Alligator mississippiensis: one gene and its partner. The protein of the gene in region 1 purifies or fractionates together with the protein of each later gene. This does not show direct contact. Links are inferred from orthologs where the notes say so. Each region holds a gene or a part of one and is shown on either strand. Other genes may lie near its edges.

Region 1 (8,677 bases):
GATGCCGGGGCGTGGAGAGCGAGGTTGCCTTCCTGCAGGGTGCTGGGGGTGAGATCCACAGCGTGCAACAGCCAGGGATGCCGGGCTGCGTCCCGCATTGCACTTAGCCAAGCCCGGGGCCTGCCTCCGCCAATTCTCAAGCCTCCGGACAAGAGACCCGCCACAGCTCCAGTCATGCCACCTGGGTGACCTCGGGCACATCACTTAGCTGCTCCGTGCCTCAGTTTCCACATTAGGGAGCAGGGTTAACAACACCGCCCTGGGGTGCCGTGAGCACCCCCACTGCATCCCCGGCCTCTGAAGCAGCTTCCGTGTTTAGACCTCAGCCTAGAAACCCACCGGGAAAGCGGCCCGCCGGTAAAAGCCGTGGCTCCCTAGATCGTCCCTGCTCCCCTGAGCCACAACGCTGCGAGCAGCACCATGCGAAAGCAATTTCCTTGCCGATGCCCCTTTAAAAAAGCCCCCGTCGGAGGCACGCGGAGCTGGGTTTTGCTGCATCTGGTATCCATGCATGGTGTACGTCAGTCGGGCGTCAGGGAAGGGGGCTGCGGGGGCCGGCAGCTGGGAGAGCGTGGGCCGGCCCGCCAGAAGGACAGGCTCCGTCGCAGGCAGCAAAACCAGCAGGGAAGGGAAGGAAGAGGCTGGTGCCAGATCGGTGGCTACAGAAACCAATGCAGGGAGCTCTCTTCATTACATTTGTGCCTGCTCATGCCAGGGATCTGGAGGACCCCCCCCACCCCCCTCGGCTGGGTCTTTATAGCATGGGGGCACGGGCTTCAGACCCCCAGAGCCATCTCCTGCTGCAAAGGCCAGCCCGGGAGAGCCTATCCGACACTCAGAGAGAACAGGCCTGCACACAAGACGCTGGGAAAGCAGGCTTCTGTGTTGTATCCGGGATGAATCAGGTCCCCAGAAATGCAAACCCTTCCTCCTCCCTCATTACACCCAGCCTGCGTCCACCCGAAAGGAGGTTGCAGAATGGGCCGCTCCTGGGATCCAGGAGGTCTGGGCTGCATCCCCAGCGCTGCCACTCACTTGCTGGGTGACCTCAAGCCCGTCACTTAGCTAATCTGGGCCTCAGTTTGCCTGGCTGTAGCCTGCAGGAGGTACCAACCCATTTTATAAAGCGTGTAGAGCGCCGATAGGAGCAGGGTGCCGTTGTTATAGGGCAGGAGATCAAGGAAGGGGGGTGATATGGGATCGGGGTGTCCTCATTAGACTCCTCTGTGCTATTATTACCCGCAAGGAGCTGCTTTCATCGCAAGCTACGGACCAACCCCCGCCACTCGCAGCTGCTTCTGGGGCGGAACAGCACAGCCGGCCGCAGGGCTCTGCTCACCGCCTCACCATTGTAACATGGCAGGCGCCCTCCCACACAGGCGTGGAGCCGTGGACAGGCACAGGGCGCTAAGGGTCGAGGCACGGGGCAGGCCAGGGCGACGCTGGAGCCGGCCCCTCCCCGATAATCCCAGGCCGGGTCAGCGCGGGGCAGGGAGTGCAGCTGGCCCCGAGCGGCTCTGCCAGAGATGGAGCAGAAAGCAGCTCTGCACCCCCATCCCTGGCACCTGCCAGGATCAAGCCCCAGGCACTTCCATTTCCTTGACCTCCTGTCCTATAACAACGCCACCCTGCTCCTTTTGGCGCTCTAAACGCTTTATAAAATGGGTTGGCACCTCCTGCAGGCTACAGCCAGGCGAACTGAGGCCCAAATGAGCTAAGTGATGGGCTTGAGGTCACCCAGTGAGTGGGGGGCAGCACCGGGAACGAAGCCCGGGTCTCCTTGCTCCCAGGAGCGGCCAGTTCTGCAGCCTCCTTCCGGGTGGGTGGAGAATGGGTGTAATTAGGGACGAGGAAGGATTTGCATTTCTGGGGGCCCGATTCCTGCCGGATCATCAGGACTCGCGATGTTACCTCGGGCCCAGCTGGCCCGGACTGAGCGGGATGTGTGGGGCACCGGAGCCGCCGGAAGGGGACTCCCAGCCAGCCCCGGGGGTTTGGGCACCGCGGAGGGGATAGGGAACAGCAAAGGTGACGGTCATGAACGGGCCCCCACAGCTGCCCTGGCACCGAATAGCTCCAGCCTGAGCCTGCGAAGCCCCCCATGTGCCCCAGCACAGCCTGGGGGGCCTGGGCCCTGGCCGGGTGCGGGAGGGGGCAGAACAGAGGGGGTGATGCCTGGGGGGCAGCTATGGCTCAGCTGGGGGGGTTATTTACTGCAGATCGGGGGGGAGGGGGGGGTCACTACCGAGGGGCGGCTATGGCCAGGCTGGAGTCTCTACCCTGCAGGGGGGCTATTGCAATACTGGGGGGTCTCTGCCCCAGGGGGAATATTGCAGAGCTGGGGGGGGTTGCTGCCTGGGGGGCAGGATGGCAGAATTGGGGCAGGGGTATTGCTGTCCACGGGGGCTATTGCAGATGGGGGGGGTGTTAAAGGTGGGGGAGAGGGCTCGGGGCTGTGGAAGCTATTGCGGGGGCAGTTGCTACATGAAGCTACTGCAGAGCTGGGGGGGGCTGCCCTGGGGGGGCACTGCAAATCCTTGTGGGGGGGTCACTACTCAGAGCCGGGGAGGGGGGCTACTGTGGGGGCTACGGTAGAGCTGGGGGTGCTGCCAGGGTGGGCAGCGACATTGCTGCGGGGGGGCTACTGCGGAGGGGGGGGGCTACTATTGCAGAGCTGGGGGGTCTATTGCAGAACAGCGGGGCTCTGCAGAGCCCGGGAGGGGTGCTGCAACCCTGGGGGAGGTGCGGCTGCGGGAGGGGGCTAGTGCAGGGGGCGTGCTGCAAAACAGCGGGGCTTTGCAAAGGTGGGGGGGTATTGCAACCCAAAAGGGTCTATTGCAAAACAGCGGGGCTTTGCGGGGGGGGCACTCACCAGCTCGAGCCGCAGCGCCGCGATCTTGCCGGACAGCCCCGCGCCCTCCCCCGCCCCGGCCGGCCCCGGCCCCGGCCCCGGCCCCGGGGGCAGCGGCAGCAGCGGGTCCCCGCGCAGCCACCGCGCCAGCCCCGCGGGCGTCCCGCGCCCCGCCTTGCCCTCCAGCTCGCGCAGCTCGGCGGGCAGCGCCGCGCCCGGCTCCATCCCGCCCGGGCCGGCCTCGAACCCGCGGCCCCCCGCCGCCGTAAGGCTCCGTGTGCGCCCGCCGCCCGCGCCGTATTCCCCCGAGCGGCGCGCGCGCACAAACGCGGCGCGCGCCCTCGCCCGCGCCCTCCCCCGCGCCCGGCGCCCCCTCCCCTCCCCTCGCCGCTCCCTCTCCCTGCCACCGCCCTCCTGCGCCGCCTCGGGCATGTCTCCGCTCTGCGGGGAAGCCGAGCCCGCGGCTGCCAGGGCCCGGGAGCCGGTGGTTGCGGGGGGCCGCGCCCTGCCCAGGCGGCTCCCAGAAACCCAGACTTAATGCCCACATCTGAACTCGGAGCTGCACCTGCTGCCCCTCTCCCCGCCGCAGCCGGGCTCCCCGCTTCAGAGAAGGCGTCCCACAGAGACCAGCCCCGGCCCCCCCCCGAGTGTCTCCTGGCTGGGATGGGGGCTTTCGCCAGGCCCACAGCACGGCGGCGCTGACAGCTGGCAAAGGAAGCAGGTGTGCAAGTGCTGGAAGGAGCTGGCTGAGGGCTGCGAAGCTGTCCCGTGCCTCAGTTTCCCCACTCTGTGCAGTAACAGCCTTGGGACGATTGCCGTGCACGGCTTGTAGGGACGGGCTGCCCCCTCCGTGCAAGGCCTGCTGAGACCCTGGAAACAGCTGAGCAAGTGCCAAGGGGATCCCCGGGGTGTCAGGGCCCAGTGGACTAAGGCCATGGGAGCAGGAGTGCTGCTGCCGGCACGCGGCCGAGGGCCATAATTGACACCCCCGCCTTCTCCCGACCAAGGGTGATTCATTAGCCATTTCCGTTTGGAGGCTTCGTTAGCCAGCTGCGCCACCGTGTGTAAGGCACGGCCTGCCCAGCCCCGCTCCCGCTGGTCCATCGGGCTGCCAGTCCTCTGCAGCGAGAGAAGTGCTCGTTTGGAGACGCTCCCTTATGGAGGAGACCACGGAGGTCGGGCATTGGGAGAAGGCCCCTCCATTCGGTGAATTAACGAGAGACAGACCAAGGGTCTGCAGAGGTTGAGTGCTGCTCCGCCATAAAGGACACTGTTAGTTCTTCTCAGTCCCCTGTGCCCGTGTCTACCGAACCCGGTGATCACTGTGTGCTCAGAGGCAGGGACCGAGCTGGTTGCACGTCTGTACAGGACCTAGCACAGACAGGGTCTGGATCTGGGTTTGAGCCCCCAGGGCCTGCTGGGATAAAAATGGATAAAGAACCGTGCAGGAGTCCTTCACGCAGTTGAGAGAGATGGGCATTTCTTGCTTTCCAGGACCATCCCTTTCTCCACCTCCGTGGGGTCTCCATGGCCTGGTTACACCTGACCGTGTATAATAGTATTTGCATAAGTCCCTAATCATTTGCACGGCCGGAGCATGCGGAGAAGCGGGTCGGAGGCACCGCAACGGCTCACCCACACTAAAAACAGGATCGTCTCTCGCATGAGCTGAAGGAAGAGCTCCTGCAGCACTTGTAGACTCTTACCTTTGTACCAGGGCCACATGTGGGGGATGCTCACACTCTCCGGGGCATTGAGGCTCCAGTGTCAGTTCAGGTGGGGAAACTGAGGCACGGAGCTCATGAGGTGTTTTGCTGTGGAGCGAGCAGGCCTGAAGGACAGGAGCTGGGCAAGGATGGGGGCAGCATGTGTTGTGGCCTGGCATGTGTGCACACCAGTGCATACATGTGTGCATATGTGTGTGCTTAGGCATGAGGACGTGCTGAACCCCCTGCCACCACCGCGGGGCACTTCCAGTCTTGCTGCACAGCAGAGGTGGGCTCTTGCACCGTTCTCTGCCCATTTCACAGATGGGGTGACTGAGGCATGGAGCTATAAACCACCAGGCACTTTGCTCTGAAAAGCCAATCGCTCCTCTGGTCTCTGTGGACAGCGCGACCTTAAGTGTCATGCCCAAGGCCATGCAGTGGGTCAGTGGCAAAGGGAAGAGGCCTGTGTTATTCTGTGTAGTAGGGCAGTGCCTGGTGACACAGAAGTGGCCTGTCCCCACTGCACAGACTGGAGAAACTGAGGCAGGAGAGGTATGTTTGGCATGCCTAAGGTCCTGCGGGCAGTCAGTAGCTGTCAGAGACACCTCTGTGGACCACAGCCCAGGCATCCGAGTCCCCGGTCCCTTCTCCTGGGCCTCTTTCCTGACCCCGATGCCCGCGAGGAGGCACCAGGACTCACGGGGCCACACTGAGGACATGACGGGACCCGAGGGCCTGGCTGCCCCTCGCAGAGACCCCCACCTCCAGCCGTGCCAGCTGGCTGCTGATCTCCCCCTGGGGAGGCAGGCGTGGAGGGAGGAGATGCAGCCCTTGACACTGCGGGGGGAAAGGAGGATGGGGGATTTGAGGGGCTCGTAGGCTGTGCCTGGTCCACTCCAGGAGAGGCTAACAGCCTCCTACTGCTGCCACCAGGCAATGGAGCAGTTCCCTTCGCACAAGGGCCAGGTGCGAGCTGCTGAGATCCGGGCAGCGGATGTTGTCCAGGGAGAGCAGGGCTCTGCCACTGCTTGCCTGTGCGACCCTGGCCCTGTCACTTAGTGCCCATGTCCTGTCTACAAAGGAGGGCCGAGCGCTCTGCCTGCTCCATCCAGGTGCCAGTGCCTGCTGACTGCAGCATGGTGCAGTGGTAGGGGACAGCATCCTAGGGGCAAGGAGAAGGTTGGTCCCTTCCCCCAGCCACGAGCCAAGACCCCAAACCCAAGCCTGTTGCAAGTGGGACATCCGGCTGGGCCCAGTCAGCCCAGGGGCGGTGGCGCACTGCCCCCTTGTGGAGGAGCGACGCTGTCTTCGCCCAAATCTATGGGCCATGCATCCCTGGGTCTCCCGTCTGGGGGCAACGGGGTCAGCCCGGAGCGGTGATGCAGGGTAGAGGGAAAGGGCCTGGCCTTGCTGGCAGCAGCCCAGGAACTGATGGGGTCCCAGGGGATGAAGGCAGGCTGCCCCCGATCCCCTGCAAGATGGGCGGAGGGTGGGCACTCCCCGCAGGCCAGCTTGAATGGGGGAGGCATGAGAGGGGCTGGCACCCCCAGCCCTGTGCAGCCGCTCCGAGCAGACCCTCTGAAGTCAGGACCAACTTCTACCAGCCTTTGTATACGTGTGTGTGTATGTATGTGTGTATATATGTCCGTGTCCGTGATATATATGTGTGTACATGTATAGACATGTGTATATAGATATGCGCATATATGTGTCTATATGCAGGTATACGCATGCGTGTATACATGTGTATGTGTGTATATACGTGTGTGTGTGTGTGTGTGGTATGTGTCAGGGATATATTTGGTAGCTGTGTTGGTCTGAGACAAAAAAAGAAATGACAACTCTAGAACTCTTGGCTCAGAGATGATACCTTTTATTAGACCAACCGAGAAATTGCAAAATATATCATTTTTTCCTTCAAGCTTTTGGGCTTGCACACCCTTCCTCAGGCTCAGGGAAAGTTAAAGATGGTAAAAAGTCCCATAGGTAGGAAATAAATTTCATTTTTGCACCGAGGAAGCTGAGAAGTATGTGTGCGTGTATAAATTGTGTGTAGTATGTATGTGTGTATATACTGGATCACAGGAAAGCAGGGCTGGCAGGGGACTCAGGAGGTTACGTCCCGTCCAGCCCCCGGCTCAAGGCAGGAGCACCCTTCCCTAACCCATCCCAGCCATGTGTCTGTCCAACCCGCTCTTGAAAACTTCGCGGGCTGGAGATTCCCCACCTCTCGGTGCCTGTTTCCAATGCCTGACCCCCCTCAGCACCAGACAGTTCCTCCTCATCTCCAGCCTCAGTTCCCCTCCTGCAGCTTGAGACTGTTGCTCCCAGTCCTGCCGCAACAGCCACAGAGAAAAGCCCATCTCCATCCTCCCTGCCATCGCCCTTCAGGGATTTCAAGACTGTTATCAAATCCCACCTCAGTCTTCTCTTCTGCAGGCTCAGTCCCCCAGTTCTCCCAGCTGCTCCTCCTCGCTCTCGTCCCCCAGGTCCGTCTGCACTGGACTCTTTCCAACCTGTCCTGATCCTTCCTGAAGGAACTGGTTTGCATGGGATGCAAAGCCCAGGCCCCAGCCCCTGCAGAGGAAGAGTCTCTGCTCCTGTCCAGCCTCTCCTGGGACTGGCTGCGAGCTCCAGGCGTGGGAAGCACAGCTTTGCCCCCGAAGTGGACAGGCAGGGAGGCTGAGGCCACCCCGCCTGCCTCCGCCTTCCCAGGGAGGCCCCTCTGTGCAGGCAATACCCCGACCCCTGGCAGCACGAAGACCTCTTCTCCAAGGGCAGGACTCTCCCAGGGCCTGGCTGGAGCATTTCTATACCTCCAGAGAGGTCTGAGGATCCAGTGAGCTGAAAAAGGGATCCTTCCAGCCATTGCATACGGGTGGGTCCCAGCTGATCCCATAGAAATCCTAGAGCCGCAGGGTGCCGAGGTCACATCCAGTCCAACCCCTGAGGCAGGATCAGCCCTGTGCAAACCAGCCCAGACACACGCATCATACAACCTCCTAGCAAAACCACCACACAGCACCAGACCTCACACCCAAACCTGCCGCAGGGCAAGCAGGGGGACCACGGCGGCCAACATCCCGCTTCTCTAAAAGGTTAATAGACAGTCAAAAGAGCCCACGTGGAAGCTGTGCCCCTGCTACAGAGGAAGGCAAACCCCCCTGGACTGTATCTGACCAGGTGGGAAGATGCCTCCCGGACCCCAAATCTGGCATCAGTCTGACCCTGAGCAGAGGAGCAAGAGCCTCCAGCCAGGACCCTCCTGTTTGGTGCCATCAGGAGCATTGGCACAGCCCCGTGCCATGCCCAGCCCTGACTGCAGCAGCACCCAGCGCCTCTGGGGACGGCTTAAACCCTCCCCCCCCCAACACATGGAGCAGCAAGGAGGGGGCGCCCAGCAAAGCCTGGGACACCCCCATAGCAAAACACAGGCATCGCTACGCCCTGGGGAGGGGTTTGCTAACCTCAGGCTTCAGGCCAAGACCTTCCAGAACAGCTGGTGGCATCTGGGGGGTCCTGCCTGGCCACCCATACTCCAGAGGGGGTCTGGATCCTCTGCTCGGGGTCACAAGCATGTCGCACATGGAGGCAGGAAGCAATCCCACCCCCCCTACCCCACCCCACCCCACCCCAGTCAGACTGGCATGGGCCGTGGGGCTTTGCCCCCTCTGCAGCTGGGATGCTCTGAGCACGGCCGCATCATTGCACTGGCACCGGCCCCATCTCCCCTGTGCCCGGCTGCGAAGCGGGTCCCCGGTATGCACCCACCAGCCATGTGGGAGGATTTGGGACCTATCAGGGCACCCGGGAAGGCACTTCCAGCCCTGTTTCCTCAGCACTAAGAGCCAGACTCAGGTCCGGCCTCCACCTCTGCTACAGACTCCCTGCGTGCCCTTGACCCTGTCACTTCCTCTCCTTGCGCCCCTATGCAACCGGGGAAGAAATCCTGCCTGCATTCGTCTGGGTAGAGGGCAAGGGGGGCGGAGAGCGCTGGCTCCCAGGTGGGGTTCAGCTCCTCTGACTCAGGCGCGCCGCGTAGCCGCGGTCAAGTCCCTTAACCCCCTGCTGCTGCGGTAGCCGGGGCGAGGGGAGTCCCCGCGGCAGTGCGGGGCTC
Region 2 (7,860 bases), on another chromosome or scaffold:
ATTACTTACATTATTAAAGTAACTTTGGGGAGTTAATTTTTATTTTCTTTGTTATATGGAGGAGAACTCAACACAGTGGCAGAAAAAAAAATTATGCTCATTTACTAGATGACAGAAGAACCCTGTGAGTCACAACTCCTGGGTCTTACTGATGACTTTGGGACAGTGTTAAAACAAGAGGCCCTCCAGTCAGGACTCAGTTTTCTATTACTGGCTCAAGAGGAAGACTATTGGACAGCAGTTAAAGTAATGTTTAGACTGTAACACCAAGCACAAAGATTTGGCAGACCATTTCCACATGTATGTGATCAGAGTACACACCACATTCATCCCAGTAAGAACACTGTGCACTCTCTCAATTACTTCATTTGGGAAATGGTGTGGCTATTACATGCTTATCTTCTACGGTAATGAGAATGATAATGGGAGTTATAAACAGAAATACGTGGACAAATAAGAGATCTGAATGCTTCTCCTAGCTTCTAGATCAGCTTGTTTTCCCTTGGCTAAAAGATATTTTGATGCAACTTTTCCTCTTCCCCAAACGGCGAATATGATTCAACTGGAACACAATATGCCCAAGAGCTCCATTTCCTGTGGGAAAACAAAATCCAACTGTCTTGGGTTAAGATGGCAGCCTCTTGGCTCGTGTGTTCAGTGGGACTAAAGTCACAAGATGTTCCAAAAAATTGCCACCCCTCACACTCTACTGTACCGGGAAATGGTGAGATTCACCTGAACCTTGTGGCATTGATTGTCAGGAAGTACCGGCCAGGGTTCCTGGAAGAGAAGCCTTATGGTTCCAGCACCAGGGGCTCTCCCACTTTTTGAAGCTCTGAAGGTCTGTCAGATACAGCAACTGTGCGAGGCAGTGGCTGGCCTGGCAGAGTAGATATAATACATGACACTGCCTTCAGCACTGCACTAAGCTGGGCTTCAGAAAGACAGAAACAGACCTGCTGGCCTGTCCACATCCACAGCTATCCCTCACATCTCAACCATGTCCTCCATCTCGACAAGTCATGGGGCCTCGCCATGCACCTCCAGGACCAAACCATGCTTCAACTTCATCAAAAAAAAGCCCCCAAAATTCCACACCTAAACTACTTTTAATTTTTCTGCATACTATTGAGATATCTACCAAATAACAAAGAAATTATAAGCTGCCTCTCACTGTATCTTGATGTCCACATACTATATGTTCACCGATTTATGACAGACTCTATTTTGTCCATAGGAAGTTCCTTCTCCCTCTAACCAGCATGAGAAAACACCAATATCCATTTACAGTGTAGCCCACATTTTAACTACAACTTCATACTGATCCTACACACACTTAACAGTGCTCAATCAAGTTCTGCACATCAATCCTGAATAATCTCTTAACATCGCTGAGGCTGTAATTAAACTTGCAAATTACACAATGAGGAAGATTAAGATGTTGAGCCCATGTTCTTTTATTAGCTGGAGGCATAAACATGTTCCTGGTGCTGAAGAACCATATCAATGAAAATGTATAATAAGGGTATTATGGCACAGGTGAAAGGTGTCCCAGAGTTGGCATTTCAGGACATGTATTGTTGGAGGAGCTGTGAAACGTGTACAATTAACCTTAACTGCACCAAAAGGAAGTTTATATTTATGCAACATATACAGTACTGCAGCTTTTCCATGCAGCCTTTTGGAGTACAAGCTTGCACCTCTATCCTGTATCACCAGAGGGCAACTTGCATACATTTCCATTATTTATTAAAGAGCTACTCTGCATTACAGGACTACTCTAGCTTAACAATAAATATACTCCTGCCATACATCTGATCATGTCTGCAACCTTTTCATATTTAATTCAAAGAGTTTGATAAATAAAAACTATGAGAAGCAATTTTATGAGTAACTGAATAAATCTGCCTGTCAGTCACACAACAGATAACAATATGGAGATTATCACCAAGAACTGTAAAGAAAGCATCTCAGCCCCCAGACACCTGTCTAACCCCAAACCATTCTCTTCTCTTCAGGACAACCATGTCAACGGGGTCTAGCTACCGTTACATCCAGCCACTTGTCTCCTCATACAAATTCAGTGCATCGCAAGTAATGGCTTTAAAACAGACAGCGACCAGCGTGCAGAGAGCACACCGAGCTGTCACAAAACACATAATCGATGCATCCAGGGCCGCAGCCCTGCAAGGCAGATGCGATAAAGTAGTTAATTATTCAGTTGGCAATCGCATTACTGACGTCAACAGAAGACTCCAGGAAGTGAATCCTCTTAGTTTGTTAGGGTCTAACAAAGAGTGGAGGTCCCCTCAGAAAAGAAGCAGAACCAGCTGTCCCGTGTTGAGTGCGCCGGCCCGAAACATTCACAACCTGCATTTGCTCTAGCCGACACCCCCACTACACCCTCCTCCCCAAGCAAGTCTGGGCTTTTTCTTAATAAAAAGAGGGATCTTTCAAGCGTACGGCACAACACAGCTGCCCCCGTACGCAGCCCACTCCCCTGCAACCACTTCTCCTGCTGCACGTCAGCCGCCCTTCCCTAGTGCTGGGCCCGCCAGTCAGCAGCCACCAGTGCTTCCCCCAGCGCCCGGGGGCCTCCGCCTTGCAAACGGGCTTCCTCCAAGCCGCTCGCTCCCTGCGGCGAGAGACCTCTTTTGCCCTGGGCGCTGCCGCCGCCGCCACCTCCCCCTGGCCGCGCACCCCGTCCTCGCCCCTCCGGCCTGCTCCACGGACCCGCTGACAGCCGCCCTCCCCGCGGGGTGCCAGCAGGCGCCGGATTAGCCCCGCCGGGGGTCAGGTCAGGTCGGGTCGGGTCAGGCCAAGGGCCCCCCTGCCCCCGGCTCACCCCACTCGAGGAAGTCGGAGACGTAGCGGTCCCGGCGCATCGGCGCGTCGCGGCCGCACTCCCCGCACACGCCGAGCAGCAGGTCGAGCAGCGCCTCCACGCTGAGCGCCGCGTCGTGCCGCTGCGGCCCGTCCAGCACCAGCTGCTCCAGCCGCTTCAGCCGCACCTTGGCCGACATGGCGCCGCGCGGCCGCGCAGACCCGCGCCCGGACCTGCTCCCCCTCACGCCCACATCTGCGGGCCCCGCTGCTCCGTGGGCCGCCGCAACCGCGCCTTCCTCTTCCTCTTCCTCCGCCGCCGCCGCCGCCTCTGCCTCCGGCACCGAGCGGCCCGGCCGGGATTGCAGCCACGCCCCCCGCGCCGGCGTGCCCACGCACAGACGTGCGACCAAAGCGCTGAGCCGCGGAAGTTTGGGCCGAGCCGCTCGCCGTAGTGCGAGATAACTAGCCGGGAGAGCGGCACCTGCAGATTCGTGTGTGGAACATTAAAGGCAGGCGGGGGCTCTGTCGATTCTTTCCCGCAGATTCGCGCCCTGCTTGGGGAGAGGGAAGGAAGCAGAGTCGTTTTCAAGCCGGAGGGTGGCACAGGGGAGCTGGCAGTAGGGTTGTGTCCACCCTTCAGGATGGCCTTGGAGTCTGCAGGAATTAAGAGATTAATCCCCCGGAGACTGGCGGGAGATAAATGACAGGGCTTTTCTTAAAATGTTGAATCCGATTTGTGCAGTAGTCCAGTGGGGTTTTAAAAGGGAATAGCAATGTGCACGTGCTTTCCTGATGCACCGTAATCGGTAACTGATATCTGTGAGCCCGTGGGCACGTCCACGTCGTGTGTCGCGGGCACAGCGGCGTTCCAGCAACCTCCTGCAATAGATGCAAACAGAGTTGGCAACCCTGCCTGCCAGGCACGTGCCCATGTGGCCTGGCAGAAGCAGCCCTCGCTGCAGGTCCAAGCATCCCAAAGGCATATGTCAGCCCCAGGCCAGGCCCGGCTGGGCCAGCAGCCTCGCATGGACCTGTGGGCATTGGTACTTGCTGCCCCCTTGGCCCGTGTGGGAGGCCACGAGCTGATGCCTGATGCACATGTGATCCCAGCTCTGCGCTGCCTTCGGTCTCACTCACCTACTGGGCGCGCGTGTGACCCAGGGTAGAGGCAGCGTGGTGCACTGCTACGGCTACCCCAGTGCCCGGAGAGGCTCTGCTCTGGGCCCGATCCTGGTTACTCAGGCCTAGGAGCATCCTGGCATTTCAGAAGCTGCTGCCTTCAAGGGCCACAGCCAACCCATGCTGCTGGGAGTGCTCATGCCCAGCCATGGGGGAGGGCCTAAGGAAACTTTTGCACCATTTGGGAATTGACTGTAGGGTAGGATGGGCCACCCACATCCTACCCTATAGCTGTCTTCTGCAGGGACTGCAGCCGCTTGCCCCTGCGGTCCCCTGCGTTTTGGCAGGACTTCAGGGCCCATGGCTGCTTAGAGACAAATGAAGCTTAGCAAGTTAGGGCTGCTATGCAAACTGAAGGAAGATGTGAAATGTAGTCAGAGTATCAACACTGCACTGGCTTGAGCTGCATTGTTTCTATTCTGTTAAAATGGCCTGCTAGGAGCTGTTATCTCAGCGAACCACAGTTACTTGGGACCAGATGCACAGTTCCTCAGAAACATACAAGTCTAGACGGGTTTAGGTTGTAGCCATGTTGGTCTAAGGACATGGGCAAACAAGGTTCCTTGGGTGAATTTGATATCTTTTATTAGACTAATCCAAATAGTTGGAGAATATTTATTAAGCAAGCTTTCGGGTTCAAAAACCCTTCATCAGGCTAAGGAAGTTTCAGCAGTTGGTGCGTGCTCTTCCTGGATGGAATGAAAAGTCTAGACATGAATTCACTCTAGACTAAATGCAAACCTGCCTGGTGAGAGGGTGTGACTTCATAACAGGTGAACTGTCAGGGCTAGATGGATCATTGCATGATAAAAGCTGTCATCGCAGAGCAGTAAGGCCAGCTGATTTCAGATCTCTGTGTCAAAATCTTGCATGCAGGAAATGCTTGTCTCTAAAAGCTACAGCCAAACAGAGCCAGATGGAGCTTTGCAGACTGGCGGCTGTCATTACCAGGGCCATAGTCACTCAGGTAATACATCAGCACCTGTTGTCTGTGAGGACTATGTTACTAAGCCCTGAACTGTCATATCCAGAGCTTACAGTCAGTCAGGACCCAGTGGTGGGAGTTGCCATATTAAGGGGCCAAGATCACAGCTGCTTAAGGTCAGATGAAGTGTTGTACGACAGAAAGTGTTGTCTCCTGGGATTATGGCCTGTTGGGGTCCAATGAGGTATTACCAGTATTAAGATTGGAAGCTCTTGTTTCTAGGGGGTTGTCCTCCTCAGGCATGATGTCTCTTCTAGGATACAGAATCTCTGTAAGCCACAGAGCTCAGGTCATGGTGTGACGTGGCACTGGGGTATAAGTTCTCTTTACTTGGTTCCAAACATTGCGACTGTGTAAAGAGAGTCTGGCATGTCAACTTTGCTCTGTTACATCCATGGGCTACTCAGACCAAGATGTACTAAAGGCTGATGCTTGTTGTTTTCATGCACTAGGTTCAAAACAAGATGGGGGCTTGGTACATACTATGATGAAGGATGGACATGACAGACCTGTCATCTCCACAGGCTGTATTTTACTACCTGGTAGTCAAACTGAATGTCAGACTAAAACCTGTACTGTAACCTGTACAGAAAGGCTACTGTGAAGTAAAACTCTTATCATCTCTAAAAGACTGCTGTACCTTTGTAATCCCTATCCCAGGCCCTTGGGAAAAATATCATCTTACTCAGAACATACAGTAATTTAAGAGTGGTGTTGTAGCCATTGTGGTATAGAAATTATATGAGAGTCAAGGATTGTTTAGGTTGCTATCTTTAATTAGATCAACTGCATGATTTCTTATCACCCTAAGAAAGACTTGCCTCTCACAGAATATATGGGTATTTTTAGAATTCCTTCCTGGTTGCAGATAGATCATCTGGCAACCCATCAACACCAATACCACATCTGTCTGTACCATCCTTAGCAACACAATGAGCACAACTGACTTCCTGGGGCTGCTTCTTTATTTGAAAGGAAAGTTTTGCATTTTCTGCTTACCATCATATCTTCAAAATTGTTCAGAATAAGGGCCAAGGAGGACAATGGTTGAAAGATGCTCAAGTAATTGCTGAACCAGATGTAAAAGTGCACACATTCTGCACATGAGGGAGGATGCACTTTTTCTAAATTTGTGTGCTTCCCTCAATGATCTACCCTGGAACTTATGAAAATTTTGGGTCTGATTCTTACCTCATTTTTGCTTGGGTCATTCCACTGATGTTGGGGAGGTTATATCAGGAGCTGTGGAAGGATAATCAGGCCCACCACCTGTTAAGATCTGTTATCCCCTTTCTTGTGCAGCAGTATAGGTGACTGAGTCATAGCCTTTTTTGATAGAGGGGGTACCCAGGAAACTGCAACTGGATGCAGAAATAACCAAAGTCTCCAGTCTCTTGGATTTGTCTTACACTAGGGTTGGGCAACCTTCAGCACACATACCACAAATGGCACAGGCGGCCTCTGTGTGTGGCACACAACAGACAGGAGAGAGGATAGACAGGAGAGCAGTAGATCATGCAGAAAGTAGAGCAGGAGATCAGGCAAAGATTACAGGGCAGAAAGTAGAGAGTAGAGCAACAGATCGGGCAGGGAAAGGGGATCAGAATGGCACTTGGAAAGGGTGCAGAGCTAATTCATGGCACTCCTGTCAAAAAAGGCTGGCCCTCACTGGTCTACACCTGTGTATCTCCCTGGGTTTCAACAGTAATTCTTGATATATACTGGTGTGAGTGAAGATTTGCAAAGGTAAAAAAAAGATGGACCAAAAGATGGAATTGGATCAGCACTGAAAATTATACAAGTGTTTTGCACATCTCAGACTAGCCCACGCAGAATCATTATTGGGACTGCTGATCAGCTGGCTGCTCCAGACATTGTTGAAAGATTGAAAAAGATACATTTGCATTTTTTAATATAGTGCTGGGTTTTGATGCTAAGATCCGGAGGTTTGAAAAACAACCCCCCAGTGGAAAAATGACATCAGGCAAATGTAAGTTTGACATTGTAGCTTAAGGTAGTCTGATTCTGTTACTCACGTAGACCAACTGTGTACTAAAAATAAAAGTGATTTGGCTAAGATGAATTCAGTGATCCATCTTGCTTGTTCTTTTTCCTGTTGCATATTTCAGTGGAAAAATACAACCCCTCTCTTTTACACTACTCTGATCTTACAAAATCTCTCCCATTTGGGACCCAGTGTAAGCAAAAGGGTTCACAGGCATATGTTTTCTGGTGTAGTCCTAGATTTGCAAAACTGAAGATGTTAAGTCCAGATGGCCACTGAACAGGGTCTTTTAAATCCACTCCAACTTAGGCCTCCATTTTATTTTTCTGGCTGTTCTCCAGGTAACTTAGTAACTGGCAGAGAGAGAAATTCTGTTATAGAATTTTGATGGCAACAGGAAATAGCTGTGTCACTGTTTTATGGTTTCAGGAAAATCCACCCACAGGTCAGTTTTGGATTGAAAAGAATAAAGAAATGGGAAAGACTATGGCAGACTGAGATTGCAAATGTAGCTTATAACCTCTCTACAATGGAAAAAGAAGAGAAGGGTGTTGCAGACATCTCCTCCACGACAGCTCCCACTGGACAGAACTAATTCTAAAATGTGACCTGTAAAGAAGAAGAAATTGAGTTTGTGCCTCCTTATAAGGTATAAACAGAGCCCAAGGAACTTGCTCATTAGTTGGGGAAATGCCTGGATTCCTCTTAAATTCTTGTTTTTACTGTTTTACATTAGGATGTTCATGGGAGACTATATGAAGAACCTAACAGAGTTATGCTGCTTAACTAGAGGTTTTACTTGCTTGTTCTGAGAGGGGAAGTAGCTGACTTGGAAGAAAAAAAATCTTTTTTAAGGATTCAGCAT

Evidence for each region.
Region 2: the proteins of LURAP1 (region 1) and CDC42BPB purify together in Homo sapiens (co-immunoprecipitation; 3 studies listed by BioGRID and IntAct, with this or other methods). This does not show direct contact. The link is inferred for Alligator mississippiensis from reciprocal best matches to the Homo sapiens genes LURAP1 and CDC42BPB.

What each region holds. Positions count from the first base shown.
Region 1 is NC_081828.1:3,374,526-3,383,202, reverse strand, and holds the start of LURAP1 (leucine rich adaptor protein 1), read right to left. Parts: upstream 3,142-8,677; 5' UTR 3,077-3,141; coding exon 2,873-3,076; intron 1-2,872. UniProt on the Homo sapiens protein: Acts as an activator of the canonical NF-kappa-B pathway and drive the production of pro-inflammatory cytokines. Promotes the antigen (Ag)-presenting and priming function of dendritic cells via the canonical NF-kappa-B pathway.
Region 2 is NC_081825.1:285,809,141-285,817,000, forward strand, and holds the start of CDC42BPB (serine/threonine-protein kinase MRCK beta), read right to left. Parts: upstream 3,151-7,860; 5' UTR 3,024-3,150; coding exon 2,846-3,023; intron 1-2,845. UniProt on the Homo sapiens protein: Serine/threonine-protein kinase which is an important downstream effector of CDC42 and plays a role in the regulation of cytoskeleton reorganization and cell migration. Regulates actin cytoskeletal reorganization via phosphorylation of PPP1R12C and MYL9/MLC2.